7 linked regions of the Cricetulus griseus genome follow. The main gene of each other region encodes a partner of the protein of the gene in region 3 in a complex. Links are inferred from orthologs where the notes say so. Each region holds a gene or a part of one and is shown on either strand. Other genes may lie near its edges.

What was found.
Region 1: Snrnp40 (region 3) and Cdc40 share a complex: the UniProt entries of both Homo sapiens proteins name them as parts of the postcatalytic spliceosome P complex. The link is inferred for Cricetulus griseus from reciprocal best matches to the Homo sapiens genes SNRNP40 and CDC40.
Region 2: Snrnp40 (region 3) and Bcas2 share a complex: the UniProt entries of both Homo sapiens proteins name them as parts of the postcatalytic spliceosome P complex. The link is inferred for Cricetulus griseus from reciprocal best matches to the Homo sapiens genes SNRNP40 and BCAS2.
Region 4: Snrnp40 (region 3) and Rbm48 share a complex: the UniProt entries of both Homo sapiens proteins name them as parts of the minor spliceosome. The link is inferred for Cricetulus griseus from reciprocal best matches to the Homo sapiens genes SNRNP40 and RBM48.
Region 5: Snrnp40 (region 3) and Cd2bp2 share a complex: the UniProt entries of both Homo sapiens proteins name them as parts of the U5 snRNP complex. The link is inferred for Cricetulus griseus from reciprocal best matches to the Homo sapiens genes SNRNP40 and CD2BP2.
Region 6: Snrnp40 (region 3) and Bud13 share a complex: the UniProt entries of both Homo sapiens proteins name them as parts of the minor spliceosome. The link is inferred for Cricetulus griseus from reciprocal best matches to the Homo sapiens genes SNRNP40 and BUD13.
Region 7: Snrnp40 (region 3) and Lsm7 share a complex: the UniProt entries of both Homo sapiens proteins name them as parts of the U4/U6-U5 tri-snRNP complex. The link is inferred for Cricetulus griseus from reciprocal best matches to the Homo sapiens genes SNRNP40 and LSM7.

Annotation. Positions count from the first base shown.
Region 1 is NC_048595.1:263,393,118-263,397,071, reverse strand, and holds the start of Cdc40 (pre-mRNA-processing factor 17), read left to right. Parts: upstream 1-1,154; 5' UTR 1,155-1,384; coding exon 1,385-1,573; intron 1,574-3,954. UniProt on the Homo sapiens protein: Required for pre-mRNA splicing as component of the activated spliceosome. Plays an important role in embryonic brain development; this function does not require proline isomerization.
Region 2 is NW_023276806.1:53,787,774-53,791,842, forward strand, and holds the start of Bcas2 (pre-mRNA-splicing factor SPF27), read right to left. Parts: upstream 2,801-4,069; 5' UTR 2,733-2,800; coding exon 2,640-2,732; intron 2,554-2,639; coding exon 2,461-2,553; intron 403-2,460; coding exon 332-402; intron 1-331. UniProt on the Homo sapiens protein: Required for pre-mRNA splicing as component of the activated spliceosome. Component of the PRP19-CDC5L complex that forms an integral part of the spliceosome and is required for activating pre-mRNA splicing.
Region 3 is NC_048595.1:22,668,699-22,672,198, reverse strand, and holds part of Snrnp40 (U5 small nuclear ribonucleoprotein 40 kDa protein), read left to right. Parts: intron 1-2,710; coding exon 2,711-2,831; intron 2,832-3,494; coding exon 3,495-3,500. UniProt on the Homo sapiens protein: Required for pre-mRNA splicing as component of the activated spliceosome. Component of the U5 small nuclear ribonucleoprotein (snRNP) complex and the U4/U6-U5 tri-snRNP complex, building blocks of the spliceosome.
Region 4 is NW_023276806.1:221,961,466-221,964,965, reverse strand, and holds part of Rbm48 (RNA-binding protein 48), read left to right. Parts: intron 1-1,696; coding exon 1,697-1,842; intron 1,843-2,806; coding exon 2,807-3,375; intron 3,376-3,500. UniProt on the Homo sapiens protein: As a component of the minor spliceosome, involved in the splicing of U12-type introns in pre-mRNAs.
Region 5 is NC_048596.1:73,578,268-73,582,435, reverse strand, and holds the start of Cd2bp2 (CD2 antigen cytoplasmic tail-binding protein 2), read right to left. Parts: upstream 2,801-4,168; 5' UTR 2,646-2,800; intron 2,193-2,645; exon of another isoform or gene 2,187-2,192; 5' UTR 2,164-2,186; coding exon 2,086-2,163; intron 1,891-2,085; coding exon 1,755-1,890; intron 1,639-1,754; coding exon 1,481-1,638; intron 1,379-1,480; coding exon 943-1,378; intron 865-942; coding exon 758-864; intron 680-757; coding exon 569-679; 3' UTR 1-568. UniProt on the Homo sapiens protein: Involved in pre-mRNA splicing as component of the U5 snRNP complex that is involved in spliceosome assembly.
Region 6 is NC_048597.1:158,021,261-158,025,267, forward strand, and holds the start of Bud13 (BUD13 homolog), read left to right. Parts: upstream 1-1,207; 5' UTR 1,208-1,322; coding exon 1,323-1,465; intron 1,466-3,867; coding exon 3,868-3,958; intron 3,959-4,007. UniProt on the Homo sapiens protein: Involved in pre-mRNA splicing as component of the activated spliceosome. As a component of the minor spliceosome, involved in the splicing of U12-type introns in pre-mRNAs.
Region 7 is NC_048598.1:101,634,295-101,638,275, forward strand, and holds the start of Lsm7 (U6 snRNA-associated Sm-like protein LSm7), read right to left. Parts: upstream 2,801-3,981; 5' UTR 2,737-2,800; coding exon 2,731-2,736; intron 1,871-2,730; coding exon 1,777-1,870; intron 904-1,776; coding exon 832-903; intron 241-831; coding exon 98-240; 3' UTR 1-97. Other genes in the region: Sppl2b (signal peptide peptidase-like 2B), read left to right, coding at 2,892-2,942. UniProt on the Homo sapiens protein: Plays a role in pre-mRNA splicing as component of the U4/U6-U5 tri-snRNP complex that is involved in spliceosome assembly, and as component of the precatalytic spliceosome (spliceosome B complex).

The sequences.
Region 1 (3,954 bases), about 240 Mb from region 3:
GGCTCCGCGGTGGGCTGCAGCCTTGGCCGGCGCCGAGGCACGAGGGCGAAGCGGCGGCGGGGTGGGAGCCGCGCGCCCCGGACCGCACGGCACCGCAGGTGAGAGCCGCCGCCGCCGCCGCCGCTGCACCCGGAGCAGCCTCGGGCTGGTCCCCACAGCCGAGACCCGCGCCCTCGTCCTCCACGCGCAGCCCGGGCTGCTAGGCGGCGGGCGCGGGGGAGCCCGGGATGGGGGCGGGGGCGGGCGGCGCGCCCATCATCGCCGCCGCCGCGGCCGCAGACCCGGGCTCCCACACACGCCCCTCTCGGCTCCGGCCGATGGAGAGCAGTTCCCCTGCCAGGACCCGGGGAAGAAAGGGGACAAAATCCTGACAGACTCGTGCTCACCGAGAAACCGTGGGGGGCTCGCGCCTTACCCCTTCTTCATGCTTCGGCGGCGGTCGCCGGTCCCGCTCCGCGCTGGGACTTCACCGAGAGCCCCTCGGGAGCGCCGGGCCGCGGGGTGGAAGCCGCGCCGGGCACTGGCTGGGGCGCCGGGCCGCCGGGAATGCCGCCGGGGGCGCCACTGATGGCCCGAGCCGCGGTGCGCGCGACGCGCGAGCGAACAACACCGCGAGCCGCCGCTGCCCTGCGCCGCCCCCTCCCCGCGCGACGCTCCACAACCGGGCGCGGGGACCCGCGCCTGCAGCAGGGGGAGCCGCGGGGCGCTCTCCGCCTCGCCCCACAACCTTCCCCCGGAGCTGCGCCAGGCGGGCCCCAGGTCTCCGAACTGAAGATTCGCACTGTCCCCTTGAGTCCCGCAGGGCGTAGGGTCGCAGGGCGGGAGACTCAGCCTCCGCTCACGTACTCGTCCGTGGGCAAGAGGACGGAGCTTCCCCCTGTCCTGAGGCTCCGTGGTATTGCCCAATCCGCACTTTGGGGGAGGGGGCCGCAGAGAACGATGCTGGGCTAGGGAATGAGGGAAGATGATATCCAATTGAATGAACCATCCTTTGGGGGCGGGGTCGAAGGCCGACCCCTCAGCCCGGCTCCGCCTCCTCCCTCCAAACTACAATTCCCATGGTGCCTCGCGCTTCCCACCGCTCTGCACGCCGGGAGTGGAGGACCTCGAGGCTTCAAAGGTATCTCAGAACTGTGGGGCTTTAATCAACGAGGTCCTGAAAGTTATAAGTAGTTGTAATTCCTTGTGCTTATCTAGATTAATGTTTGCGAGTCTCAGATACTGATGCAGTCAGAGTAATAATCATTATATTTTTTTCAGGAAGTTATAAATGATTTTTTGTTAAAGAAGGTAAATAAAGTGTTCCTTGGCAATCTGTCAGGACCTGGGAGTCGCTGCTTCTTCCGCCCTGGCCTGACCACAGCAGAGAGGATCTGTTGCAGTCATGTCCGCTGCGATTGCAGCTCTAGCTGCTTCGTATGGCTCGGGTTCAGGGTCCGAATCGGACTCGGACAGTGAGGGCAGTCGGTGTCCGCTGCCAGCCGCCGACTCTCTCATGCACCTGACCAAATCGCCTTCAGCCAAGCCCTCTCTGACAGTGGCGGTAGATTCGGCTCCGGAGGTGGCGGTTAAGGTAAGTGTTTTGGTCACTGATGGGTGCGGGAATTGGTTTCAGATCCCAAACCGCTCGTCTCCGGTGAGGTGCTGAGAAGTAAATTACTAGCGTTTACGCGTCGTCCCACATCTTCCTCCACTACCCCTCTGCTGTCTCCATCGCATAAAAGTGGTCCAAGAGGGGAAGAAAGTTTGAATTCTAGGCTAGGACGTAGTCTTATTAGAGCAGAAGTTTAGAACATAGCTAAAAGCGCATCAGGACTTCCTAACTAGAATTTGTGCCCTCACCAGAAGCGAGCCGTGGCCAGGCACTGTTTTGTTTTTAAGAAACTAGTCTCGAATCCTGGCTTCACTACTTGCAAATTATACAACTTCCTCTTGTATAATGGAGATAGTTGTTTAAAAACTTACCTATACCGGGGGGTTATTGTAAAGATTAAGTGAAATTATATAGTAAAGTTTATATAACACAGAGCCTAATAATCTAGTAAGAGGGCAATACATGCTAGCTATTTGTGATTGTATATGTTAATACAACGAGTGGGAAAGGGGCATAAGCTTTAAGAAGTAGCATGCATGGACCCAATGAAGGAAGGTGATAAAGGAAAAAACCCAGCTATGTAGTTCTTTATTAAGCACGTATCATTTTCCAGAAACAACAGGACTGAAAGCCACAGAGGCCAACAAAACCGAACATACTGGGAGCATTAGTGCATACTGGAATCAATTAGATGTGGACAAAAATGTAGTTACAGATTGGATTGAACACTGGGAGGGGGAAATAACCATGGTAAAGAATAAGGTAAGGCAGGATGGTGGTGGTGCAAGCCTCCCAGCACTCAGGAGACAGAGGCAGACAGATCTCTGTGAGTTCAAGGCCAGCCTGGTCTACAGAGCCAGTTCCAGGATAAAGCTACACAGAGAAACCCTGTTTCAGGAAGGAAAAATAAAGAAGAAGGTAGCAGTGTGATTTTTGTAGAATGCTCAGATCCTCTCTGAGGGGAGATAAAAAGTCAGTTCAAAGAAATCGAAGCCCTGTAAACTAAGGCAAGAGTTTGCAAGCTTAGGTGACTTGCAAACCTAGGAAGGCAGAGATTTGGTGTGTCTGGGGCTGATGTCTTAAACTCAGTGAGAGCATCGTCAATCAGTAGTTAGCTCCATGTGGGTGTTCAAAATGTGGAGAGGAATCTGTACAAAACTTCCCTCGGAAGATGGGAGGAGCGAGGGAGGTCTTGTTTGTGTCTTAAGTCTTTCACAAGTTTTGACGGGCCATTTATGAAACTTTTTTTTTTTTTTAAATAAGGACATCTGGCATGAAAGAATGCTGGGAATTCTATCTTTAGAACAAAACAAAGCTCTCCCAACTGAGGACATCTCACTAGCCTCCTCAGTCTGTTCCGTAGAAAACTAAGCTTTTGGTTCTGCATTCTTCCCATCTTTGTCACAGCCCCCCCCCCCCCAAGCTCAGTGCAGTCTAGCCTTAGCTTCTTGATTAACAACTTCATGGGAATGATGTCTTAGGCCTTGCATTAATTGGTCCTTCCATCTGACTTGAATCTCTGCATCAAATAACATTGTTAAAGGCATTGATGGCATATACCTTTAATCCTAGCATTTGGGAGGCAGAGGAAGGTGGATCACTGTGAGTTCGAGACCAGCCTGGTCTACAAGAGCTAGTTCCAGGACAGCCTCCAAAGCCACAGAGATTTTTTTTTTCACATATATTTTTCACATATATTTTCCTGTCTTGGAAAAAAACAAACAAACAAAAATCAAAAAAAAAAAAAAAAGAATTTCTCTATCTCAATTCATTTTTTCCCTGCAGCTTCCACTGAGTATTCTGCAGCCTCTGGATTCCCTCATCTTCTGCCAGCCCCTTCAGCTTTAGTGCCTCCTAGGTCTAGGCCCTTATTTCAAGTTCCATCCCCTCAGAGGTGACTACTGTGAAGAAGTTAACATAGGCATGAAATGAGTCAAGATTCCAGTGTTATTCAGATCTACCTCTAGCACTACACACATGGCCACTTGGATATATTACTTAAGAGCTAAGCCAGTTCTTATTCATCTTTCAAATAGGTTTAGCTACTTATTTTCAGAAATTCGAAGCAGTTTTAACTGTATCAAATAATACATGCTGATTAAATGCCAACTACCCTGATAAACTGTCCTAAACTCCTTGCCAGCTTAAGTATTAATAAAAAAAAAAAAAATCTCTCCGGGTGGTAGTGGCACACGCCTTTAATCCTAGCACTTGCGGGGCAGAGGCAGGCAGATCACTGTGAGTTCAAGGCCAGCCTGGTCTACAGAGTGAGTTCCAGAACAGCCTCTTAAGCCACAGAGAAACCCTGTCTCAACCCCCCCTCCCCAAAAAAAAAAACTCATCCAGGATGGTTCTTAGGC
Region 2 (4,069 bases), on a different chromosome or scaffold from region 3:
AAACACAACTGTATGCTGTAACAAAAAAAAAAAAAATTTTCATAAATGTGAACTAGTTAACCTGTAAAAGTCACAGAGACTCTGATGTCTCTCATCCCTGTTGAGATGAGACCCCTCTTGGGTAAAGTCTGCCTTACCATCTTTTTGAAAGTTGCTTAAATGTATTATATTTGCTAACATTTTTGTTTAAAGAAAAAAGGCCGTGATCATGTTTATAACTGGCAGCACTGTATCTTCTAATCTCACTGCTCACGGCCTCCACACAGCTGGCAATGCTCTTCCCAACCTCAGCCACCGCTGTCGAGTTCCCCCCAAGCCTAACCTCACTCACCGCTTCATGCTGAGTAATTCAATTGGTTGTCGAGCAGCTAGCCTCTCAAATTCGTTTCTCATTATGTCAGTCTGATGAAGAAACAACACAAAGAATTAGTACCAGGATCAGGTTGAAAATAATGTTTACTGAGATCTTATACTTTGTACTACATTATAATGGATCTTTTTGCTTCTCTCAATTACCAACCCCATCTCCCTTTTTAAAGGATATTAATATTTGACCCAGGTCTCACACATGTTCTCCCACTATGCTACACTTTCACCATCCCCCAGTTTGGGTCTGGGCTTAATTTTATCTAGGGTCTTGAAGAAATAGACACCCACTTTAATTCTATAGTCTGCCCAGGCACAAAAGGAGGCAAACATAAAAGAACCTGTGTGTTAAGGATTAACCCTCAATCAGCAGTTTTCAATGCACTGCAATCAGTTGTGGAGCTGTGAAGACAACTTTTACCCAGCCACACATTACATTGTATTTCACAACATATGAGAGCCTTGAATCTGAGCCAAATGTTTCAGGCAGTCTCTAGTGCTGTGTAGTGTGACACAGTGTAAATCCCACATACTCCAGTTTAAAACCTCGACTTCAATAAAGTCACAAGATGAAACATTGGATTTGAGACTTGATTTCTGAACTAATCACATGGAGTTATAAAAACCCCGGGAGGGGTTACAACACAGTTGTAACCTGGGTTCTAAATGAGGAAGGTATCACAACAACTAACCCCACACAGGGAGCAGTTTCTCTGCCTGAAAAACCTCTCTCAACCATCTAATTAATGTATGACAGTCACCCAGTTGCTATCACATCTGTGTAGCCCTGGCTGTGCTAGAACTTGTTTTGTAGATCAGGCTGGCCTTGAACTCACAGAGATCTACCTATCTCTGCTTCCCGAGTTCTGGGATTAAAGGTGTGGGCCACAGCCAACCAGCAACATCATTAATTTTCTATTTGGCATTTATCAAAAATATCCGAGACTTTTTAATTTATCTGCCCATCTCAAAACTAGAATCTAAGTATTATGAGGATACGAACTGTGCCTATTCTGTTCTGTAATACATTGCATATTCTGTTCAGTTTGCATAGACAGTACATAAGCACTTTCTGAATAGGAGTCCAGTAGTCTAGGAAGCAACAAGAATTCATACATGCAACTGCAACAAATTAAAAAGCTTTTCCGATAGGGGGTGGCAGCGCACGCTTTGATCCCAGCACCTAGAGGCAGACGGATCTCTGTGAGTTCGAGGCCAGCCTGATCTACTTGAGGCTCTGTCTAAACTCACACACACACAATCCTGCATCAAGAGCTGGACATGGTGACTTACACTTGTAATTCCAACACTCACAAGCCTGAAGCAGGAAGATTATCCCAAGTTCAAAGCTGACCTGTCTTAGTGAGTTATAGGCTAGCATGAGTTCCAGCCTTAAAAACCTTAATTGGCAGAAGAATAAAAATGAACAGTTATGTAATTCATAGGACCATTTTCTGAGCTAGGAAAAATAGTTCAATACACCATTAACAACTACTAAGAAAGTATTAAATTAACCAGAACACTAATTATAAAGGCAGGAACCGCGCTGCATTTTAAAAGGTTAGAAAAAATGTATTAAAGCATTTAAAAGTTTGCAAATGAACACCTGATTAGGACCTAAATGGTATTTTGGTTGCACTTGTAGGATAACAATTTTAAATGGTATGCAGTTAGGCATGTTTGTTCAGGCATTCATATATCCGCTAACTATCTGAGTTTTGTTACAAAAATCTCCCTTCAGTGGTTGCAAAGAGTACAGGTAGTTAAGATTATAAATATTAAAATCCCGTGATTACTACCTGTTTTTGACTGGACCTTAGAGAATAAAGGATAAGGGGTCCTTTAGGGAAGTTTACTAGGGACTCTTAAAAATAAAAGACCCAAATATTTTATTAAACAAGTCTGCAGAACCAATAAAGTATTTCTTGTAATACGAACCCTGAGGAAAGCTCATCTGGCTATTTTGAACCAACTGATCTTGACATGCAACATGAGCAGCAAGCAGCAGTTGCTTCCAGAGCTAAAGCCCTCAATCCGAAATCTAAGCCGGCAAGAATCCTGGTCAGGATGCGGGACTCAGGACACCGCACTTACTTCAAAGGCAGAATAATCCGGGGCTGTCAGGTAGCTCAGGTAGTTCTTGGTAGGTCGGTATCTGCGAGTTTCCTCCTCCACCAGGGCCGCAGCCTAAGAAAGAGAACAAACCGGGGTCAAGGCGAGAAAGGGAACCATGCCTCGGGTGACCCCCACCCCCGCACGCGCCCCATACTCACCGCTTCCCGCACGCCGGGAGCCTCGTAGCCTTGGTCAAAGTACGGCAACGCATCCACCACCACCTCCCCGGCTACCAAACCCGTGCCTGCCATTGCGCGGCACTCTGCTCCACCAACGCCGTCAGTCTGCGCCGGCTCGCTGCTATGCCACTGCGCCTGCGCGCGGGATGACGTCACACACAGCGCCGCCTCTCGGATTCGGGCCGTGTGCAGAGCGGCTGATTCTGTAGCCGCTAGGTCTTAAGGACTGTTTTGTTTGAGGCCTTGCGCACTGACGTCCCGGTAGACCTGGGATTATGCCTGTCTTTCCTCCATGGCTACGAGGACGATTTTATTCGAGTTTAAGAGAAAAACAACAGGGCAGACCGGAGGCAAGACATGCCCTTTGAGTTAGACATAGATGCTAGCAATGCAGTGAGACTAGCATAGTAGGAGGGAGAGGGGTTTAAAAGACTGAGAATTGGGGCGTGGGAACTTTTCAAGAGGTGGTTGCTGGACTTCACTGGAGGGGAGAAATATACTTCCCACGCCCTTTAAAGAAGCTGGGGGTAGGCGTTGGTGGCGCACGCCTTTAATCCTAGCACTCGGTTGGCAGAAGCAGGCGGATCTTTGAGAGTTCGAAGCCAGCCTGGTCTACCGAGCCAATTCCAGAATAGGCTCTAAAACAATACTGAGAAACCCTGTCTCGAAAAAACAAAAAACAAAAAGAAGCTGGGGGTAAGCCGGGCAGTGGTTGCACACTCCTTTAATCCCAGCACTTGGGAGGCAGAGGCAGGAGATCTCTGTGAGTTAGAGACCAACCTGGTCTACAAGCTCGAGTTCCAGGACAGCTCAGTGGTAAAGCCCCATCTCAATCTTCAGCGCTACAAATGAACACCTCATCCTTCCAAGGACTGGAATTCTGTCTACAGGATGCTTTGCTTAAAAAGCTTTGCCATGTTTTTGTCTCTGGGGCCTACATAAAACCCAATCATTTTGCCTTTAGGATTTGTGGTAATAGTGATCCTCCTAGGCTCCCTTCCCCTCAGGCTGTAACTAGTATACATTCTCTGTTAAGTATACCCCAAAACTAAGAGGTAAATGCAAAAAAGATTGTTGGACCTATGTGTCCTGCCTAATGGGCATTCAACCAAGGCTTATCTGTTAGAAAAGTTGGTCTCAGCTATAAGCCTGGTTATTCTAAGATTGATATGGGTATTTATGATTTTACATTATGTAAATGTGCTGCCTATAGGTTTAAGTAAAGTGAAAGAGCTTCACAACTTGTGGTTTGATGAGAACTGCCTCTCCTAGACCTACATATTTGAACACTCCCAGTTGGTGGCGCTCTTGTGGTTTAGGAGGTGCAGCCTGGCTGGAGGAAGTAAGTGACTGGAGTTTAAAGCCTCACAGTGTGTTTGCGCTCTGCTTCCAAGTTGCTGTTTGAAGAT
Region 3 (3,500 bases):
TGGGTGGCAAGTTCTCACACTTGCAATCTTCCCATCTTAACCTTCTGAATGCTGGCATTGTAGGCTTGTATTTAAGGGGATTCAAAGTGGGTATTTTAAAAAGTGTGTGTGGGCTGGGCATTGATGGCGCATGCCTTTAATCCCAGCACTCAGGAGGCAGAGGCAGGCGGATCTCTGTGAATTCGAGGCCAGCCTGGTCTCCAGAGCGAGTGCCAGGATAGGCTCCAAAGCTACACAGAGAAACCCTGTCTTGAAAAAACAAACAAACAAATAATAATAAATAAAAAATAAAAGGGTTCTGTGTGTGTGTGTGTGTGTGTGTGTGTGTGTGTGTGTGTGTGTGTGTGTGTCCTTTAGGAGGCAGAAGAGGGTTCTGATCCCTTGGAGCTAAGTTAACATGTAGTTGCTAGCCACCCAGTGTGGGTACTGGAAACTGACCAAGGATGCTATGCATCAGATACTCTGGAACACTGAGCTACCTCTCCAGCCCTAGTATTCAAATTTTTACATCAGTACATTCACGTAACTCCTTTCTGAATAAAAGAAAGTGCTATGCTTTAGGGGATATCATATATTTTATTCATTTAGAAAAATTACATGGCAGTATTAAATGAATTTCTTTTATAATAGCAATCACCTTCAGAAAATTGCTAATCTTTTTCCTTGTGACATCCAGGCTATTTCTGTTCATTTTAATGTTTATTTTTACATATTTGCTTAATCGCCTATTATGTAAATATATTTATATTTTGGCTTTAGAGTTATTTTAGGAACTGCTAAATAATATTTAGAGCCTGCCATGTACCAGGCATATGCAAAGCATTCTTACTTGTAATCTTTCACAATGAGAGAGCACTTGCCTATTGTGCTTGAGGCTCTATGCTCAATCTCCACCACCACAAAAAATACAAAAGACAGACAGAAGACATGCATATACTGTTGGGGCTGGAGATGGAATCAGTGGTAGAGCACAAAGCCCTGGACTTGAACCCCAGTGATGAACAAACAGGGAAGGGCAGAACTCCTAGATACTCTTGTGACTGTCTTCCAGAAGAGGCTCAAAGGACTCTTTGCCTAAACATGCTTTCCATTTTCTTTCTTCTAAAAATATATATATGCATATACATACATATGTATTGTTTCTATATACATGTTATAAGATGAAAAATCTTAGTTGTTTTCAGTTTCATGTTTACTTTATATAATTTTGGGCATTACTTTCAGTAAGTCAGTTATCTGATTTTGTCCCTGGTTGACCTGGAGCTTGCAGCAGTCCTGCCTCTGTCTCTAGTGATGATCTTTAGTTTTGTTTTTGAGACTTCTGACCTCAAATATACTATATAGCTAAGGGTATCTTTGAACTTCTGACCCTCTGCCTTTCCTCCCAAGTGCTGGAATTCAGGGGTGCACTTGGCATCCCCCCCCCAAAAAAACAGGGTTTCTCTGTGTAGTCCAGGCTGTCCTGAAACTCACTCTGTAGACCAGGCTGGTCTCTAACTCATAGAGATCCACCTGAGTGCTGGGATTAAAAGTATGCGCAGCCACCACCTGGCTTTTTTTTTTTTTTTTTTTTTTTTTTTTTTGAGATGGCCTTATAGCCAAGTTAGTCTGGAACTCTGTTCAAGCTGGCCTCAAATTCAAACTCTTTCTTCATCTGCCTCCTGAGTGCTGGGTTTAGACATATACCACTAAGCCTGGCATCTGGTATATATAGTTGTGTTTCTCTTTTTTAGATTTTTACACTTTATTTGATGTATATGAACGTATGTGCACCACATGTGTGCCGGGTGCCAGAGTTGGTGAGAAGAGGGCGCTGGACCCCCTGCACCTAGGGTCACAGATAGCTGTGAATCACCATGTGATGCTGGAAGCCAAACCCAGATCCTGTGGCAGTACAGCAATACTCTTAACCTCTGAGTCCTTTCCCCAGACTCAAGTTTGTTTGATTTATTTGTTGCTGTTGTTGTTCTTATTGCTGGGGTTTTTTTGTTTTTGTTTTTTGGTTTTTGGTTTTTTTTTTTATATATATATAAAGATTTTATTTATTTATTATGTATGCAGTCTTCTGCCTGCATGCCAGCAGAGGGCACCAGATCTCATTCAAGGTGGTTGTGAGCCACCATGTGGTTGCTGGGAATTGAACTCAGGACCTCTGGAAGAACAGTCAGTGCGCTTAACCTCTGAGCCATCTCTCCAGCCCCTTGTTTTTGTTTTTGTTTTTTGTTTTTTTGTTTTTTCAAGACAAGGTTTCTCTGTGCCTTTGGAGGATGTCCTGGAACTAGCTCTTGTAGACCAGGCTGGTCTCAAACTCACAGAGATCCACCTGCTTCTGCCTCCCGAGTGCTGGGATTAAAGGCGTGTGCCACCAACGCCCGGCTACTGTTATTTTTAATGTAAGGTCTCTCTATGTGACCCTGTTTGTAATGGAACTGTCTCTGTAGGCCAGCCTGGCCTTGAACTCAGAGATCTGCCTGCTTCTGCTTCTAGAATCCTGAGCCATCGTGTCTCTACTTCTCTTTTCTTTCTTTTTTAAGATAGTGTCTATGCAGTCCTGGCTGTCCTGGAGCTCACTTATGTAGACAAGCTGGCCTCAAAGTCACAGAGATCCTCCTGCCTCTGAGTGCTGAACTTAAAGGTGTGCACCACCACACCTGGCCTTTCTCTGCTGTTTTTCAATTTGAATATTGAGTGCAGTTTTGTGTTTTTATAGGTTTGGGACCTGCGTCAAAACAAGTTAACCTATACCATGAGAGGCCATGCAGATTCTGTCACCGGCCTGAGTTTAAGTTCTGAGGGATCTTATCTCTTGTCCAATGCAATGGACAATACAGGTAACTTTGGAGAACAAAGCTGTTCTTGGGCTAGTGTCTGTTGACCCTAAAAGGGAGGAGGAGTTGGTATTAAATGAAATGCATTGGGGAAGCAGTGATTGGACTCAGCTAGTTAAACTATCTACATTCAGACTAGATTACTTGAATTTGATCCTGGGACTCGAAGGCAGCTGGGCAGTGATGTTGCACACTTTCAATCTCAGCACTTGGGAGACAGACACAGGCGGATCTCTGGGTTCAAGGCCAGCCTGGTCTATAGAGTGAGTTCCTGGACAGGCAGGGCTGTTATACAGAGAAACCCTGTCTCAAAAAGAAAGGGGGAGGGGCTGGAGAGATGGCTCAGAGGTTAAGAGCACCGATTGTTCTTCCAGAGGTCCTGAGTTCAATTCCCAGCAACCACATGGTGGCTCACAACCATCCGTTATGAGATCTGGTGCCCTCTTCTGGTGTGCAGATATACATGGAAGCAGAATGTTGTATACATAATAAATAAAATCTTTTAAAAAAAAAGAAAGAAAGAAAGGGGGGATTAAAAAGAGCCTTAGCAATTAGTATTGTGTTGTATTGGTCCTCCTCATGAAGGAGACAGTATTTGTTACTGACATGGAAGCTGCTGGCTCATAGTTGTGTTTGTTGCTTGACTGGTTTGGATTTGCTTTGTAGTGCGAG
Region 4 (3,500 bases), on a different chromosome or scaffold from region 3:
GGTAATATCTCAATAAGAATTAATCATTATCTGTAGATAACAGAAGTACTTGATTACTTATTATAGTGTTGGTTCAGAATAGGTATTCAGTATCTCTTGAGTGAAAACAATTTATTTCTTTCTCTTTTATTTTTGTGTGTATGTGGTGTGGTTGTGTGAGCCTATTCACCTGTATGCATGTAGGACCCTGTGGATCATCAGATCTCCTGGAGCTGGAGTTATACAGACACTTGTGAGTTGCCATGCTGGGACTTGAACCTGGGTCTTCTGGAAGAGCAGTCAGTGCTCTTAACCCCTTAGCTATCTCTCCAGCCCCAGAAGGAGCAACAGTTCTTAATTTTGCATTGGTGAGCTGTTGTATTTTCACTGTTTCCACTTGTTCATGTGCGTGTGTACCTACGCGCACAGGAGACGGTTCTTTCCGACCATGTGGGCCCCAGAGGTTGAACTCAGGTCTTCAGTCTTAGTGGCAAAGGCCTTTACATGCTGAGCCATCTTACCAGCTTCAAGTTATATATTTGGCTCACAAGTTCTATTAACTCAAGCTAACTAGTAGGATCCTGAGTTATTCTTTTAAAAAAGAATAGGTAAGTGTGACTAGCTTAGCTGAATACCTATTGAGATTATGAGTAGAGAGAAAAGAATTTCTTGGGGTTGGAGATATGGCTGGGTGGTAAGATAGCTTGCAACTCTTTCAGAGAACGGGTTCAGTTCTCAAGCACCCTTGTCAGGTGGCCCACAACCACTTGTAACTCCAGCCCCACAGGATCCAGTGACTTCTGGTCTCTCTCTGTGGGCACATGCACACAAATGTACAGAACACATACATACAAGTAAATAGATAATAAATCTTTTTATTAAGAGTACTTTCTGAGCTGGGCATTGGTGGCACACGCCTTTAATCCCAGCACTCCAGAGGCAGAGGCAGGAGGATCTCTGTGAGTTCGAGGCCAGCCTGGTCTACAAGAGCTAGTTCCAGGACAGCCTCCAAAGCAATACAGAGAAACCCTGTCTCAAAAACAAAACAAACAAAAAATAGTACTTTCTGGATCAGTGGCATCATCCAAAACAAAGCATCTTACCCAGCCTCCTATCTCCCCCCCCCTACACACACACAGTTTGCTCCTTAAACCTATGGAATACCTATTAAGCTTTTATCTTAGGTAAATCTGGATTACAAAGCCATGGCTGCAGAGATGGCTCGGCAATTAAGAACATGGACTGCTTTTCCACAGGACCTGAGTTTGATTCCTAGTAACCAGGTCAGGTGTCGGTAAACTCTAGCTCCAGGACAGAGCCTCTACACATACTTACACATAATTGAAAGTAATAAAAATAATAATTTTCTGGGTGTAGTGGCACATATCTTTAATCCCAGTACTTGGGGAGGCAGAGAAAGAAAGAAAACAAGCTATGTATCTGGGCGATGGAGAGATGACACAGAAGCTAAGAGCACTTATCGCTGTTCCAGAGATCTCAAATTTGGAGTTTGGTTCCCATCCCTCATGTCAGGCGGTTCACCACTGCCTGTAACTCCAGTTCCAGGGCCTCCATCACCTCTGGCCTCCTTAGGCATCTGTACTCATGAGCATATACTTGAATGCAGAATACACGTGTATATAAGGCATAAATAAAAAGCCATGTAATTTATGTGTTTCTCTTTTGAGTTCTCTTTAAATTATCTAATTCCCTTTAGGGTAGCTAAGAAAAAGATGGATGAGCAGAGTTTCTTTGGTGGGTTACTTCATGTATGCTATGCTCCAGAATTTGAGACAGTTGAAGAAACTAGAAAAAAATTAGAAGAAAGAAAGGCTTACATTGCAAGAGCTACTAAAAACAAAGGTACGGAAAGTCTGTTGTAAACACTCCCTGTGTATGGGGCACTACTAGGGATGTGTGTCATTGTGGAGTCCCTGCTCAGTTATGGCCTTTGGTGACTTGAACCACAGGGTTCTGTGTAGCACTGTACAGTCTTGGCAAGAAAGACAGGGTGTTGGTTCCTGGAATATTTCCTATGGGATCTGAGAGATGGTTGAATTTTAGCAAATGTTATCAGAAGGGGAGTGGAGAGGATGGCAGGGTGAGTCAGGCTACACGTTTAAAGCTGGGGAAATAAATTGCCATCATGCGTTTAAGGAGCTGTAAGTCCTACAGGGTAACCAAAATACCAAGGTTTTAGTGAGAGAAATTAGGAAAGTAGACAGGAAGCAAATCATGAAGTGCCATGTGTCACCTGCTAAGCAATCCAGTGACTAACATGAAGGCAGCAAGAAGCAACTGTGATTTGCAAACCAGTTAGAAGTGCTACTCCTGGTGGGAGAACTCCAGTTTTTGATCAGCAGCTGGTTCAAATGTCCACATGTCCAACTGAGTTTCTCCTGACACAAGTAGGAACTAAACATGGTTTATCCATATAGTAGAATATTCTGAAACTGTAAAGGTTTCTACGCAATGGTATGGGAAACTCTCTAAGATTACAGTTAGTGGAAAATGTAAAAGAATAGATTTTTATTATCTTTTGACTAGGGAGACAAGGAGGCTCCAGGGGAACTGTGAGGCATTTTAGATAGATGAATAAGACAATACACTAAATAAGTAGGGAAAACAAGGAGAAGGGAAAGCTTGACACAGTACCCTTTCCTATCCTTTCAGAAAGCCCTTAAATCTTATCAGTGCCTTCCCTGCTCTGGAAGTATCATTTGGGGAGTAGAGTGTGGTTTTAGAATTACAAGATTCTGAATGATCAAAATGATTAATGAAACATTTGTTTATCTTTCCCTCAATGTCTAAAAATACAACTTTGAAGACTATTACATGACAAAGAAGAAACTGGTTCCAGAGCAAAAAGGAGCAAATGATTCTAGACAAGATTTCCATCCACATATGCCTGGATTTTGCACAACTTCTTTGAACACTTCTCCTGAGAACTCAAGTCCTTCTCTTCCTTATTCTTGTGACTTGCCTTTATGCTATTTTGCCTCTCAAAGCAACTTTTTACCTGGGGAACATATGGACAGAGCATCAAATTCCTGTAGTAGCGGTAGGAACCATAGTGAACTATCAGAGCATTGTAACTACAGTGCCTTTTCCCCAAAAGTACAGGTGAACACTTACAAGAATTCACTACCTTGCTCTAGTGGGCAAGAGGTCATTACTACCTCAGAGTCAGTCGGCAGATTTATGCCTAGGACAACACAGCTGCAGGAGAGGAAAAGAAGGAGAAACTGTGATCATGAACTTGGAATGTTTCCTGAAACAAACACAGGCAGTAACGAGGTTGTGATTGGACCTAAGTTACCAGGAATTCCCACAGTGGATCTGCAGGATGACTCCTTGAATACAACGGCAAATTTAATTCGGAGTAAACTTAAAGAGGTGAGGTAATTGTTTTTTAATTGAGATAATTTAGTTGTAGAGTCAGCAACTATTTAGGAAATTATTTGGAGGAACTAAAACATTGTAATTATTCATTTTACTTTTTGTTTTTGATGTATTTTCCT
Region 5 (4,168 bases), on a different chromosome or scaffold from region 3:
TAAGTTCATGCTTCACCTAAGAGCTATGGGAGCTACTGCAAGGGAAGGAAAAATCAGACTAGGGAGAAGAGGAGAACCCATGTTTAAGAGGCCTCCTGAGTGTTCTCAATAGGATCTCAAACTTTTCCAAATGTCCCAGCTGCAAAGGGGTTACTAGGCCAGAGAATCTGAGGTCCTAAAAGCTGAAGATCAGCAAAACAAGGACTTGCAGGGGAGATAGGAGAATAGAGTGATTGAAGGGAATTTGACATGGCAAGTCACAGGACACCTGACGGGCCCTACTACTGCCACCAAGGGCGGAAAACAAACCGAGGTGGTCCAAGACACCAGAGAGAAGCATCTAAGGAAGGAGGAGACACTCAAGGGCCAGGTAAGCCAACAGGAGCTACGGAGGAGCCCTGGCTTCTGGCTACCAGCACATCAAGGCCCTGATGCACACTCAAGGCTTTTATTGGGAAAGGGAAAGTGGCTGAAGAGTAGCTTCCAAGATCCTCACTGCCCAGGGCAGCTGGGGCCTCCTCTGCCAAGTCCAAGAAAAAGGGGCTACCACACTGGGCCCTTAGCAGGTTCACGTGTAGAGATCAAAATCAATGCGCTTGGAATTGTAGAACTGACCACCTGGAGGGTCCAGCTTCCGGCAATAAACACCATCCGGGAAGTAGCCTTCAGTCACCCAGGTCTGTAAGAAGAGAGGACAAAACTTAGGAAAGATGACAGAAGTCGGGATGGACAGACAAGACAGGAGGAAGCCACTGACCTGCATCTGGGCACTGGTGAATGGTCCATACAGCTCAGCATCCCCCGTGTTCTCCCACTTATATTCCCACATCACATCCATTAGACCATCTCCCGCTGACTCTGCTTCTAAGACAACAAAGACGTATCGGCCTTAAGTGCCCAGTCTCCCACTGGCATTGCCTCTCCTGTGTCCTAAAAGCTTACCTCCTTTATGCGCAGGGGTCGGGGTTTCCAGTTCTCCCTCTGTCACTTCGTCAGCAAACATGTCCAGGGAGGGTGGAGGTGTGGGGTCATGGGATCCCTGAGTCCGACACCCCAAACCCTTCAGACACATAGCCAATCGTTCCCTTGTTTCCTGGTATACACCAAGGTTGCCTCGAGCCACCATTTGATCAGCCAACCCAGAGAGCCGGTCTAGGCGCTGTGGGGAATTGGGCCGTCCAGTCCCCTTGCTGTCCCCTTTGCCTCCTCCTCGGGCCCCCAAACGCCTAAGTGCCCCAGCCACTGTCTCTCTTGGCAACAGCAGCTCCAAAAGTCCCTCCAGGAGGGCTTGGGCACTCATCGGAGTCTGACCCAGGCTGTCTTCCTCCTCTGAGTCTGAAACCTGGTGCTTATCAGGTGGCCGCTCCTTGATCTTCACCTATAAGGGAAAGATAATTATTATTTCCTACAAACTTCCACCAGGGCCCAGGCCCAGCACCTGCATTCCCAGGCCTCAGCCAGGACAGCTCCTGGGCCACACCCAGTCAATGTTGTCCAGCCAGCTGTCTCGGATCTGTGCATCCTGGTTCAGGAAGTAGTTGCCATCAGCATCAAAGTGGCCTTCCTCCATCTCTTCCTGCAGGTTGAAGGGTGTGATCCTCACACCCCCCTCACTAGGGAGAGTAGCTGCTTCCTGACCTGCACCAAAGACATGGGGGCCCCATGCTAGGCATGCAAAAAAGAGACAGGCACACTTCCCACCTCCATAATCAGACTTGCCCTCCAACACAGCTAATGTTTTGGGAATAACTCACCTTCTACATCCTCTGAGGCCAGGATATCATACTTGCTGGACCCTTCATCATCATCATCCTCCTCATCACTGTCTAAAGAGTGTTTGCCTTTGAAGCGGCTCCCAGGACCCCCTGCTCCAGCCACAGGGTCCACCAGCTGTGAGTAGAAACCAGCAAATGAGAAAGGCAACCTACTGGCGAGCTTCCCAAATATTCCAGGATCTGTATCCAAACTGAAAACCTACCAAACCCAGCGCACCGGGGCAAACTAACCCTTTCTTTCGCTTCTCAGCTTTCCTTCCTTTTATTTCTCCTCAGTCCTCCACAGACATTAGGAGTCTGACCATCTCACCTTCTTTTTGGGGACACTGATTTCATCTTCATCATCCTCATCTCCCACACCTTGAAAAGTCACTTTCCTCTTTGGCATGACTGGCAGAACACTTCCTCCAGCTGGACCTCGGAAAAGGATACGGAGTAAGAAAATTAGGTAAGGAGAGCCGGCCGCGAGAGCGCTGTGGCACCACATTTTCCTTGGTAAGCGCCAGGTCCCGTTTGAGCGAGGAAGGGTCACTGAACCATCTCAAGCGCTAGCAGGCGGGTCGTCGGGAATTGGTTTGGCAATTCATTCAGAGGCCCTGACGGGCGGATCTCCGCCCCCGCGCGGACCCTGTGCGTACTCCCACGCAGGAAAAAAAGCCAGGCTCCCCTACGTCACCACTCCCCTACCAGTGCGGAGCTACAGGGCTCCCCCAGCTCCCACCCGAGTGCCCACAGAGGCCGGTCGGACCCAAGAGCTGGCGCCCTGGTTGCTTAGGACCCCCAGTTCCACGCAGCGAGCTGCTAGACCATGTCAGAGTCGGCGCACAAATTAGAGAGGAAGCAAATTCGCAGGGATTCGAACAGTCTTACCGGCTGGCGCTCACCGAGGAGCCCGGGGTCAGGCGGGGAAAGAAAGGAAAGATGCTTTCGCCAGTATTACATCCGGGGCACTCGCCTCCATAACCCGGAAGGAGACTGTGGAGACCTCCATAAGGCCGGAAGCTGCTTCACTCCCATCCAAAAGACTGTCGGAACGGGCGGATGTGTACATTTGGTCAAGACAGTCTCCGCAGGAAGTGACGTAAGACCCCAAAAGACTCGCGTGAACTCCTATACCAGCCCCAGCCTTACTTAGCTTGAGGATGGCGGCAAGTGTTTGTTATTCCTCTGAAATGGAGACTCAGGTGAGGACGTGACGCTCTGTCTGCTTAAAGAGGTGCTGAAGGCCGGGCGGTGGTGGCGCACGCCTTTAATCCCAGCACTCGGGAGACAGAGGCAGGCAGATCTCTGTGAGTTCGAAACCAGCCTGGTCTACAGAGCTAGTTCCAGGACAGCCTCCAAAGTCACAAAGAGAAACCTTGCCTCAAAAACCAAAAAAAAAAAGAGGTTCCCAAGTCCTGGATGGAGGGACAAAGGCCGAGCAGAAGCTGTGGGCTCCAGTCTGACTCTCTATATAGGGCTCTTTGCGCCCAACGGAATTCAATAGAAACCCTGCTTTCCAAGCTTGACACAGTCCCAGCGCTCGGGAAATAAGCAGGACTGATTGTCGCGAGATTGAGGCCAATCGGGGATACAACGTGAGATGTCTCTTTAAAAAAAAAAAAAAAAATTCTTGCTTTTCCTGAGTCCTGTTTCTGGCTGTCAATACTTAGGCACTTTCCAAATCTAGCTCCTTTTAGGACCCAGCCCCATGTCTGTTCCCATTCAATTCCTTCTTTCTGCAGGGGAACTATAACAGGAAGTAGCATTGGCATCCGAGCAGTACCCAGCCAGAAGCCCATAATGCCCTACTCTGGGGTACATCCAGTTGCAAGGTGAAGTCTACCCCACCCCTCAGCAAAATGCTAAGGTGATGGAATCCCGCTCCTGCAGAGGTGGAGCCAGGTGAGATCTTCCTGTCTAGTGAAGTCTAGATCTGGAGCTCTTGAGAACAACTCAAAGCCAGAACACCTCCCCCCCAGGCTAGATAGCTCAGGTGATCCTGCAAGAGCTGGATGAGGGCGGCCAGATGGACCACACCTTTCTCTTGCAGGATTTTCTCCATTCTGAATCACCATGAAACTTGGAATTGTGTCCTCAGTTTCTTCCACGGGCACAGAACACAGGTCCTAGCCCAGGAGGGCATCTTGCTACAGAATGCCTGAAACACCAGCTCTGGGCACTATGGTGCATCCCAGAGGGAACTTCCTCTTCTACCTGGAGACCACACACCCCTGAGCCTCATCCTGCTGAACTGCCATGAGGAGCTCCACCTTAGGACCACAAACCCCATGCCTTTACTATCCTGATCCCTGGGGAGAAAGCAAGGGGGAGGGCTGGGGGGCTACAAGCTAGCCATAGAAAACAAGAACTGGATGATTGATTGTGTGCACCTGCTGAGATGAACTGAAGGC
Region 6 (4,007 bases), on a different chromosome or scaffold from region 3:
GCAGAAGGATAACAAACTCAAGATCATCCTGGGCAACTTAGCAAGGTCATGTCTCCAAAATTCAGAAAGGGGTGGGGGAAGTAGTTCTGCTACAGAACTCTTCCTTATCATGTGCAAGGCCCTGGGTTCAATCCCCAGTGCTTGATGGAAGAAGAAACAGAATTGTGGGGGTCAAGTGAAGATTCACCAAACACTTAACCCCCTATAAGAAATAGAATCTTCCTGGCTTTCTTTTCTTTGCCACATTGACAACAATTCCTTGTCATTTTTATTGGGAAGATTGTATACCATTTTCTTGAGAGATAATACCAAACGTGGAAAGGTCAATACAGGTTTGATGAGACCAATCCACTTTTCAGTCACAATATTGGGGGTGGGATTTGTTTGACTTCCCCTAAATGGCACTGTTCCAGTATACTGTCTACCAAAAGGTATTTATACCAATAAAAATAACCGAAATAGTTCTACTGGTGGTTTATTGTGGGCAAAAGAGCTGGGGGTCATCAGTAGGTACACCAGCTGGGTCAATCCAGCTGTCTTCCCACACCTGATCGTGGTACTTCCTGGTTCTTCGTTTATAAGGTCACCTCCACCAAGTACATACAATTATTTATAAAGAGCTCCTCATCTCCTTGGTGCCCTAACTCTTAATGGGCTTGGGAGTCCTCTTCCTCCTGCTCTGGGTTGGCATCTACCTATGAGTCCTCAAGGGTATCCACCAGGCAGCTTCACCAAGTCCCTGCTTTTGTAAATTCTTTCTTCTTTCTTCTTCTTCTTCTTCTTCTTCTTCTTCTTCTTCTTCTTCTTCTTCTTCTTCTTCTTCTTCTTCTTCTTCTTCTTCTTCTTCTTCAATAATGATAATAATAACTGAAATAAACTAATTGTGCTAGGCATTTGGCACAACATCCGTTATTAAAATGCTATTCAATAACTTGCCCCCAGTGGCACAGTTACGATCGGTCTCGTATTCAAATAGGTGCTCTGATCTCCTGAGTTTCGGTTCTTCCCTACTCCGGTGCAGTCGTCAGGGCAGGACTAGTTAAGTCGGCCTGTGACCTCTTTGCTGGAACAGTCCCGGCTGAGAGCGTTGCACGGATGTGTCGTCACAGGAAAGCAGAACGGCCCTACGATGCATTCATGCACCTCCCCTTCCCCACACCGAGCCTGTAAAGACATTTTTTAAGAGTCATGACACCTATCAGCCCCAGTAGCTCCATAAGGGCCACTCCTAGGGCTTCCGTTTCTGGCTCCACCCCCATCCGTTTCCCGTAGAAGAATTTTTGTCCCCAACGCCGAGCCGTTGCCCCGCCCTCGCCGCTGCCATGGCGGCAGCTCTGCCGCTCTCCAAGGCTGAGTATCTGAAGCGTTACTTGTCTGGAGCAGATGCTGGCCCGGAAGGAGGTCCAGAGTCGGTTCGGAAGCGGCGCAGAAAACGGCCGAAGCCAGGAGGCGCCGGTGGCAAGGGGTGAGTGGACTGATGGGGCATCGCGCTGCCCCTTTGCGCCCTCGGCCGCAGCTCTTCCTCCTCCCCGCCCGCGCGGCGCTGCGAGCGCTGCCGACCCAGGCCCGGCCCCGCTGCTCCCGAGCCGGCTCTTCGCCGCCGCCTGCAGCTCAGACCTCGTCCTCTGAGCAGTGTCTTCCATGCGTTAAGGCCAGCTAGAACTTAGAACTTCCTTACTGTTTTCCCGCCTTTGTAGCCTTGTATCGTCCCTCGAACAGATTGAAAAGTCGTGCCCTGAGAGTAGTAGAACTAATTAAAAGCCCCAGTGATTGCGGTTTTTTTTTTTTAATGTTAGAATTCAAAAATCTGTTTCTGGGGCCTTCAAAGTATTAGGAACTGATCTGGAACCAAAGATCTAAGTCCTGTTATTCTTGCCTACTACTAACAGTAACAACTAATATGGGTACAGTTCCTATCATGTGCCTGGCCTCTTTCTAAAAACTTTGACCATATAACTTTCAGGACATTGTGGTGAAGTAGACATTGTTTTAAATAATATACTTTCCAGGTTCGAAAGAGGGATGTGCTGAGACAGATTTCGGATGCAGTGACTTGGCCACTGGAATCTGGAAAGGTTGGGATAGGAGATCCAACATCAGCCCACAGGACAAAAGAAATTATAGACTTTAGAGCAGCGACCCTAAGTTTAGCAGCTTGCTAAGAAGGTACTATTTTGGATACAAGGTCGAAACTCTGGAAGCTAATCCCGTTCTTATACACCATGCCTTGGGTCTGCTGCTTGCTAAGAGCTTAGCAGCTTAGAGAATATAAAGTGTGGTTCACACCCCTCTATGGGGGAACCATCGTGAGCTGACAGTATTATTCTCATATTTCTACTGAGAAAATTCTGTGGCCCATTGAAGTGGGTAGACTAATTCCCTAATTCCCTCTTTGCCCAAATTTACCTTCATTTGGGACTTCAGCATGACATCAATCTTTGTGGTGTTACTAGTTGAGCCTATATTCAGTTAAGGTATGTGGTAAATTCAGTGTGGTTCTTTTTTTTTTTTTTTTTTTTTAATTTTTCGAGACAGGGTTTCTCTGTGGCTTTTGGAGGCTGTCCTGGAACTAGCTCTTGTAGACCAGACTGGCCTCGAACTCACAGAGATCTGCCTGCCTCTGCCTCTGGAGTGCTGGGATTAAAGGTGTGTACCACCAACGCCCAGCTCAGTGTGGTTCTAAGAAGGAGCAATGCCATTCAGGGAACATGGTTTAAGCTTTGGAACAGCACTAACTGGAATCTGAATCCTAGCAGTGCTACTTTATAGCCTGGGTCATCTTGGGCAAGAGAGTTCACCTCTCTGAGACTCGGAGTCCTAGTGGTCCTGAACACTGCTGTTTGTCTGAAATGGCTGTTGTGATTAAAGATGTAGCATGTGTTCCTGGTTTTTCAAATACCTCTTTGCAGCACAGATCACATCCATTGGATGCCATCATCTTTCAGCAGTTGGTACACTGGTTACTCAAGTCCACAGGTACTTAAGTTCCTCCACACAATGATACAGTATTTGTGGGTAAACTATTCATATCCTCTTTAAATTGTCTCTAGGCTACTTACAAAACCCATTGCAACTTAGGTGGTGTACTGGCTGGATTTGTGTGTCAACTTGACATAAGCTAGAGTCATCAGAGGAAGGAGCCTCAACTGAGGAAATGCCTCCATGAGATCCAGCAGTTAGGCATTTTCTCATTTAGTGATCAATGTGGGAGGGCCCAGCCCATTGTGGGTGGTACCATCTCTGGGCTGGTGGTCCTGGTTCTATAAAAAGCAGGCTGAGCAAGCCATGGGGAACAAGCCAGTAAGTCGCACCCATCATGGTCTCTGCATTAGCTCCTGCCTCCAGGATCCTGCCTGTTTGAGTTCCTTCACTGATGAACAGCAATGTGGAAGTGTAAGCCACTTGGGAGGCAGAGGCAGGTGGATCTCTGAGTCCAAGGCCATCCTGGTCTATGGAGCAAGTTCCGGGATAGCCAGGGCTGTTATATAGAGAAAACCTGTCTTCAAAAACCAAAACCAAAAAACAAAAAGGTGGACAGTGATGGAGTGAACTGACAGTAGGAGTCCATATACACAAAGACTGAGCCATACTTTTGAACTTTAAAAGCCAAAAGGTGAGATGGCCCAATGCTTGCCAACGAGCCTGACAGGCTGAGTTCAATCCTCTGAACCCACATGGTGGAGGGAAACAACTGACTCCTGCAAGTTGTCCTCTGACTTCTATATGTATTCTATGACACACACACACACACACACCCCGTCACACATACACACACGATAAATAAATGCCAAAAAACAATAGGTAAGTGTACATAGGCCTGTGTCCCAGAATGAGTTCTTTTTTGAGGCTTTTATTGTTCTCATCTAGAATGCGGATTGTTGATGATGATGTGGGCTGGGCAGCTATTTCTACCACTAAGCCGGAAAAGGAAGAGGAAGAAGATGGAGATTTGCCTGTGGTATGTTATCTTTTGGAGTCTTGTCAGGACTTTGAAATGATCCAAGCAT
Region 7 (3,981 bases), on a different chromosome or scaffold from region 3:
AAAAACAAAATAAAAAACCAGAAACAAAATCCAAAAGTAAAACACCAAACAAAGTTCACACAGGAAGGAAGGTCCTTGGGGCCAGATCGCTCTCCACCTAGGCATCCTGCTGCTGCACGAAGGGGTTGGGGATAGCCTCCATGCCATCCTGTGGGCAGATGAGCACCACTGAGGTGCCTCGGCACACCACAAGCCCCAGCTGCCGTGTGTCTTCTGTCAGCTTGTACTGGTCATCAGGGTCTGGTGGGAATAGGGGGTGACAGGCAAGAGGAACTGAAGACATGTCCTTTCCACCCAGCACTCCACAACCAGGACCTCAGAGGGCTGTCCCATCTTTCTTTTGGGGACTGACACACCCAGGCCCTGGGGTCTCAGAGCCGACTGTAGGCATGGATACTACAAGAACCCAGGGCAGATACTCACCCCAAGGAGTGGTCTGCAGGGGAAGCAGAGGCCCCGGGGAGGATGGACCAGAGGTGGAGACAGGGAGCAATTAGAAAGTAATTGTTGTGGGTGCAGAGGAAGGGACACTCTTTGGGCATTACAGGTACTATTCTGGAATAAGCTGAGATCCTATGCGTCCTGGAGCTGGTGACACAGGCAAACAATCCAGACAGAGGACAGTAGCTACTATTTCTGCCATCCCCAGGAGGGCTGAGGGGAAGGAGCTGAAATCTCAAGCCTGGGGCCATCATGGTGGGCCTGTCACCTTTCTGGTGATCAGGGAGGGACCTGCACCCTAGGTCAGCACCACCTGCGGCAATGTGACTGCACAGGTGTGGAGAAGAAACAGGGCCTGGTGGCATCCCTGGACAACCACAGCCAGCTCACCTCTCATGTACTCAATGGTTCCATCCAGCACCAGGTTGAGCAGTGGGTCAAACCCTTTCAGGATCCCGCTGGCTTGAAGGGAGAGATGGGTAAGGATGATGTTATTGTCCTCCCACTACAGACCCAGGCATGGGGACAGTTATCACTACAGAACTCATGGGGAGACATGTCCCTATGTGGTGGCCTGCTGACTATGACCCCCAACTCTCTTCCTACAAGTGTGGAAGGGGCCATAGATAGTGAGTTCATGGTGGACCAAGTGTCAATAAAATGTTATCATCCCCCAAACTGAATTCTGTATAGTTTCCATGTAACACAAAATAGCCTTTTTTCCCCTCCCATTTGTATGAGAGAGTATCATTTGCCCAGGCTGGCCTCAGACTCACTAGGCAACCTGAAAATAATCTTGAACTTCCCGATTCTGTGTTTACCTTCCTAGGGTTGGAATAGCAGGCTTGTACAACCACACCTGGTTTCCATGGTGTTGGAGATAAAATCCAGGGCTTTATGCACACTAAACCAACCCTCTATCCACCAAGCTATAGCCTAGCCCTGGTTGATTTTTGGAGACAGGTCTTGCCACATAGCTCAGACTGGCTGGAACTTTCCCTGATCCTGCTACTGGAAACCTCCTGGGTCCCTGCTACCTCCAGGCTCTTGAAGGGATGCCTTCCTTCCATCCCCCTGTTGCCTCCTTCTTCTATGTCCTCCCAGCTTTCTGGCCTCTTCCTTCAGGCTCCAGCAATAATGGTGTGGGTGCTACCGCACCTGGCTTTCTTTCCCTGGGACTCATTTTCCCCATCCACAATTGAGACATACTGGTACCTCTCAAGTAACAGGATGGCCCAAGCTTAGCCTTTGTTAAGAGTTAAAATGCCTGCCTTGTGAGGCTTTCCCTTGCTTGTCGCAACCCCGATTCTTAGGGGCCCTGTTGCATCCACTCACCTTCCCGGCCACCCTGGAACTTCACTCGGATGGTCTTGTCAATGTACTTAGATAGGTCCAAGATGCTTTCTTTCTTCTTTTTCTCTTTGTCCTGCTGGAGAGTGGAGGAGCTGAGGAGTGAGACCCAGTCTTCCCATATCCTTGTTGCCTGGACCCGGCACCCAGCGACTCCTTTTGACCATCCTGCAGCCCTCATAACTGTCTGCAAACTCATTTCCATCTCCCATGTTCCCCCAACTAAATTCCAGGTCGCTGAGTCTGCATCTCTCTCTATTCCCATGCCCCCTGTGTATATCCTCATGTCCCCTGCCTGCACCCCCAGGTTCCCGGTCTGCACCCCCAGGTTGCACCCCCAGGGGTCTGCACCCCCAGGTTCCCGGTCTGCACCCCCAGGTTCCCCCTCCGGTCTGCACCCCCAGGTTCCCCGGTCTGCACCCCCAGGTTCCCCGGTCTGCACCCCCAGGTTCCCCGGTCTGCACCCCCAGGTTCCCCGGTCTGCACCCCCAGGTTCCCCGGTCTGCACCCCCAGGTTCCCCGGTCTGCACCCTCCAGGTTCCCCGGTCTGCACCCCCAGGTTCCCCGGTCTGCACCCCCAGGTTCCCGGTCTGCACCCCCAGGTTCCCCGGTCTGCACCCCCAGGTTCCTCGGTCTGCACCCCCAGGTTCCGGGTCTGCACCCCCAGGTTCCCCGCCTGCTTCCCCAGGTTCCGGGTCTGCTTCCCCAGGTTCCGGGTCTGCTTCCCCAGGTTCCGGGTCTGCTTCCCCAGGTTCCCGGTCTGCTTCCTCAAGACGCCCGGTGTGCAGTCCCACGTGATTCCTATTCCTCCGCGTCCCTGTCTCCCTATCCGTCTTCGGGTGTCCGCCCCCCTCTCTTTGGTCCTCCTGTGCCCCCAGTTTTCGCGTCTACAGTCCCTCGGGGGGAACCCCGCTCTCTCCGCGACCCAGCAATGCTCACCGCCATCTTGCCGACCTGCGCTGCTCTGCGCAGGCTCCGCACCGCCCACTTCTAGCGAGGGGCGGGCCCGCGCACGCGCAGGGCCGGCGCGTGCGCGTCTCGGGGTCCCGAAGGCGTTGCCGGGAAACCTTCCGCCTAGAGCTGCGGCAGGACAGGCGGACATGGCGGCGGCGCGGCTCGCCGCGGCCCTGCTGCTGCTGCTCGCGGCCCAGGTGAGCGCCACGGCTGGTCGGCTCGGCTGCACCACTCGTGACCGTGGCCGAGACCTTGCTGTCGTCCCCTCGCTGTCGCCACCGCAGACTTCGGGCCGGGCTTAGCCCGCCCTGCGCCCCGGGGCCCCAACTGCCGCCGCCGCCCCTGCCAGCCTCAGTTTCCTCTTCTGCAGAATGGGGCGAGTCCCCGTCCTCCTCCCCCAGGGGCTCGGGAGGGTCCCCGGGTGCCTGCAGCCCTGCATCCCGGCTTCTGCTCCGTGACCTTGGGCAGGAGGGGTTCCTCACCTCTGGGTCAGTCAATGCAACACGCGGGGGACCCGTGGGGGCCTCCGGGTGCCGCGGGATGCGCCCCGACCCGGTGCCGAGGCAGGACGTTTGGTGAGCGTCGCTTGCTGAGACACAGTCGCATGCTGGCCTTGAACTCATTCTGTAATGCGCGCTGGCCTCCCACAAGCGCTGCAGCCCAGGATGGTCTCTTGACTTTGCCATGTTGCCCAGGCTGGCCCTGAACACCCTGTTAGTCTCCCAAGTGCTGGGATGCCAGGCCTGCGTCACAACACTTGGCTTAGTTGTTAGATTTCTTGTTTGTTTCTGTGGCATCAGGCTCCAGTCCCAATGGTTCGTGAAGGGCTGCAGCCTCGGGCACACGGGGCAGTTGCTGGGTTCTAATGCGGATGGCCCACAGGGTGGCCTGTGCACGTTATTCTATATATTCATCTTCTCTCATGGACCCTGGGTCTGGATCGTTCTTTCAAATACTTTTTTTTTTTTTTCAAGATTACAAAATCTTGAGACAGGATCTCCTTTTATAGCCCAGGCTAGCATTGAACTTGTAACTGAGCCTCAGCCTTCCCAACACTGGCACAACTGGCATGCTCTTCCTTGATTGGCTAAGAAGTTAAGACATTACCCAGGCGTGGCGTTCCTAGCCTCTCCACCATGTGGCCCACATCCCCCTTTGACGTTTTTGTCCCCACATCCCGCTCTTGGCTGGGCATGAGCTTTTGAAAGTGTGTCAGGGCTCCCCACCCTGCCAGCA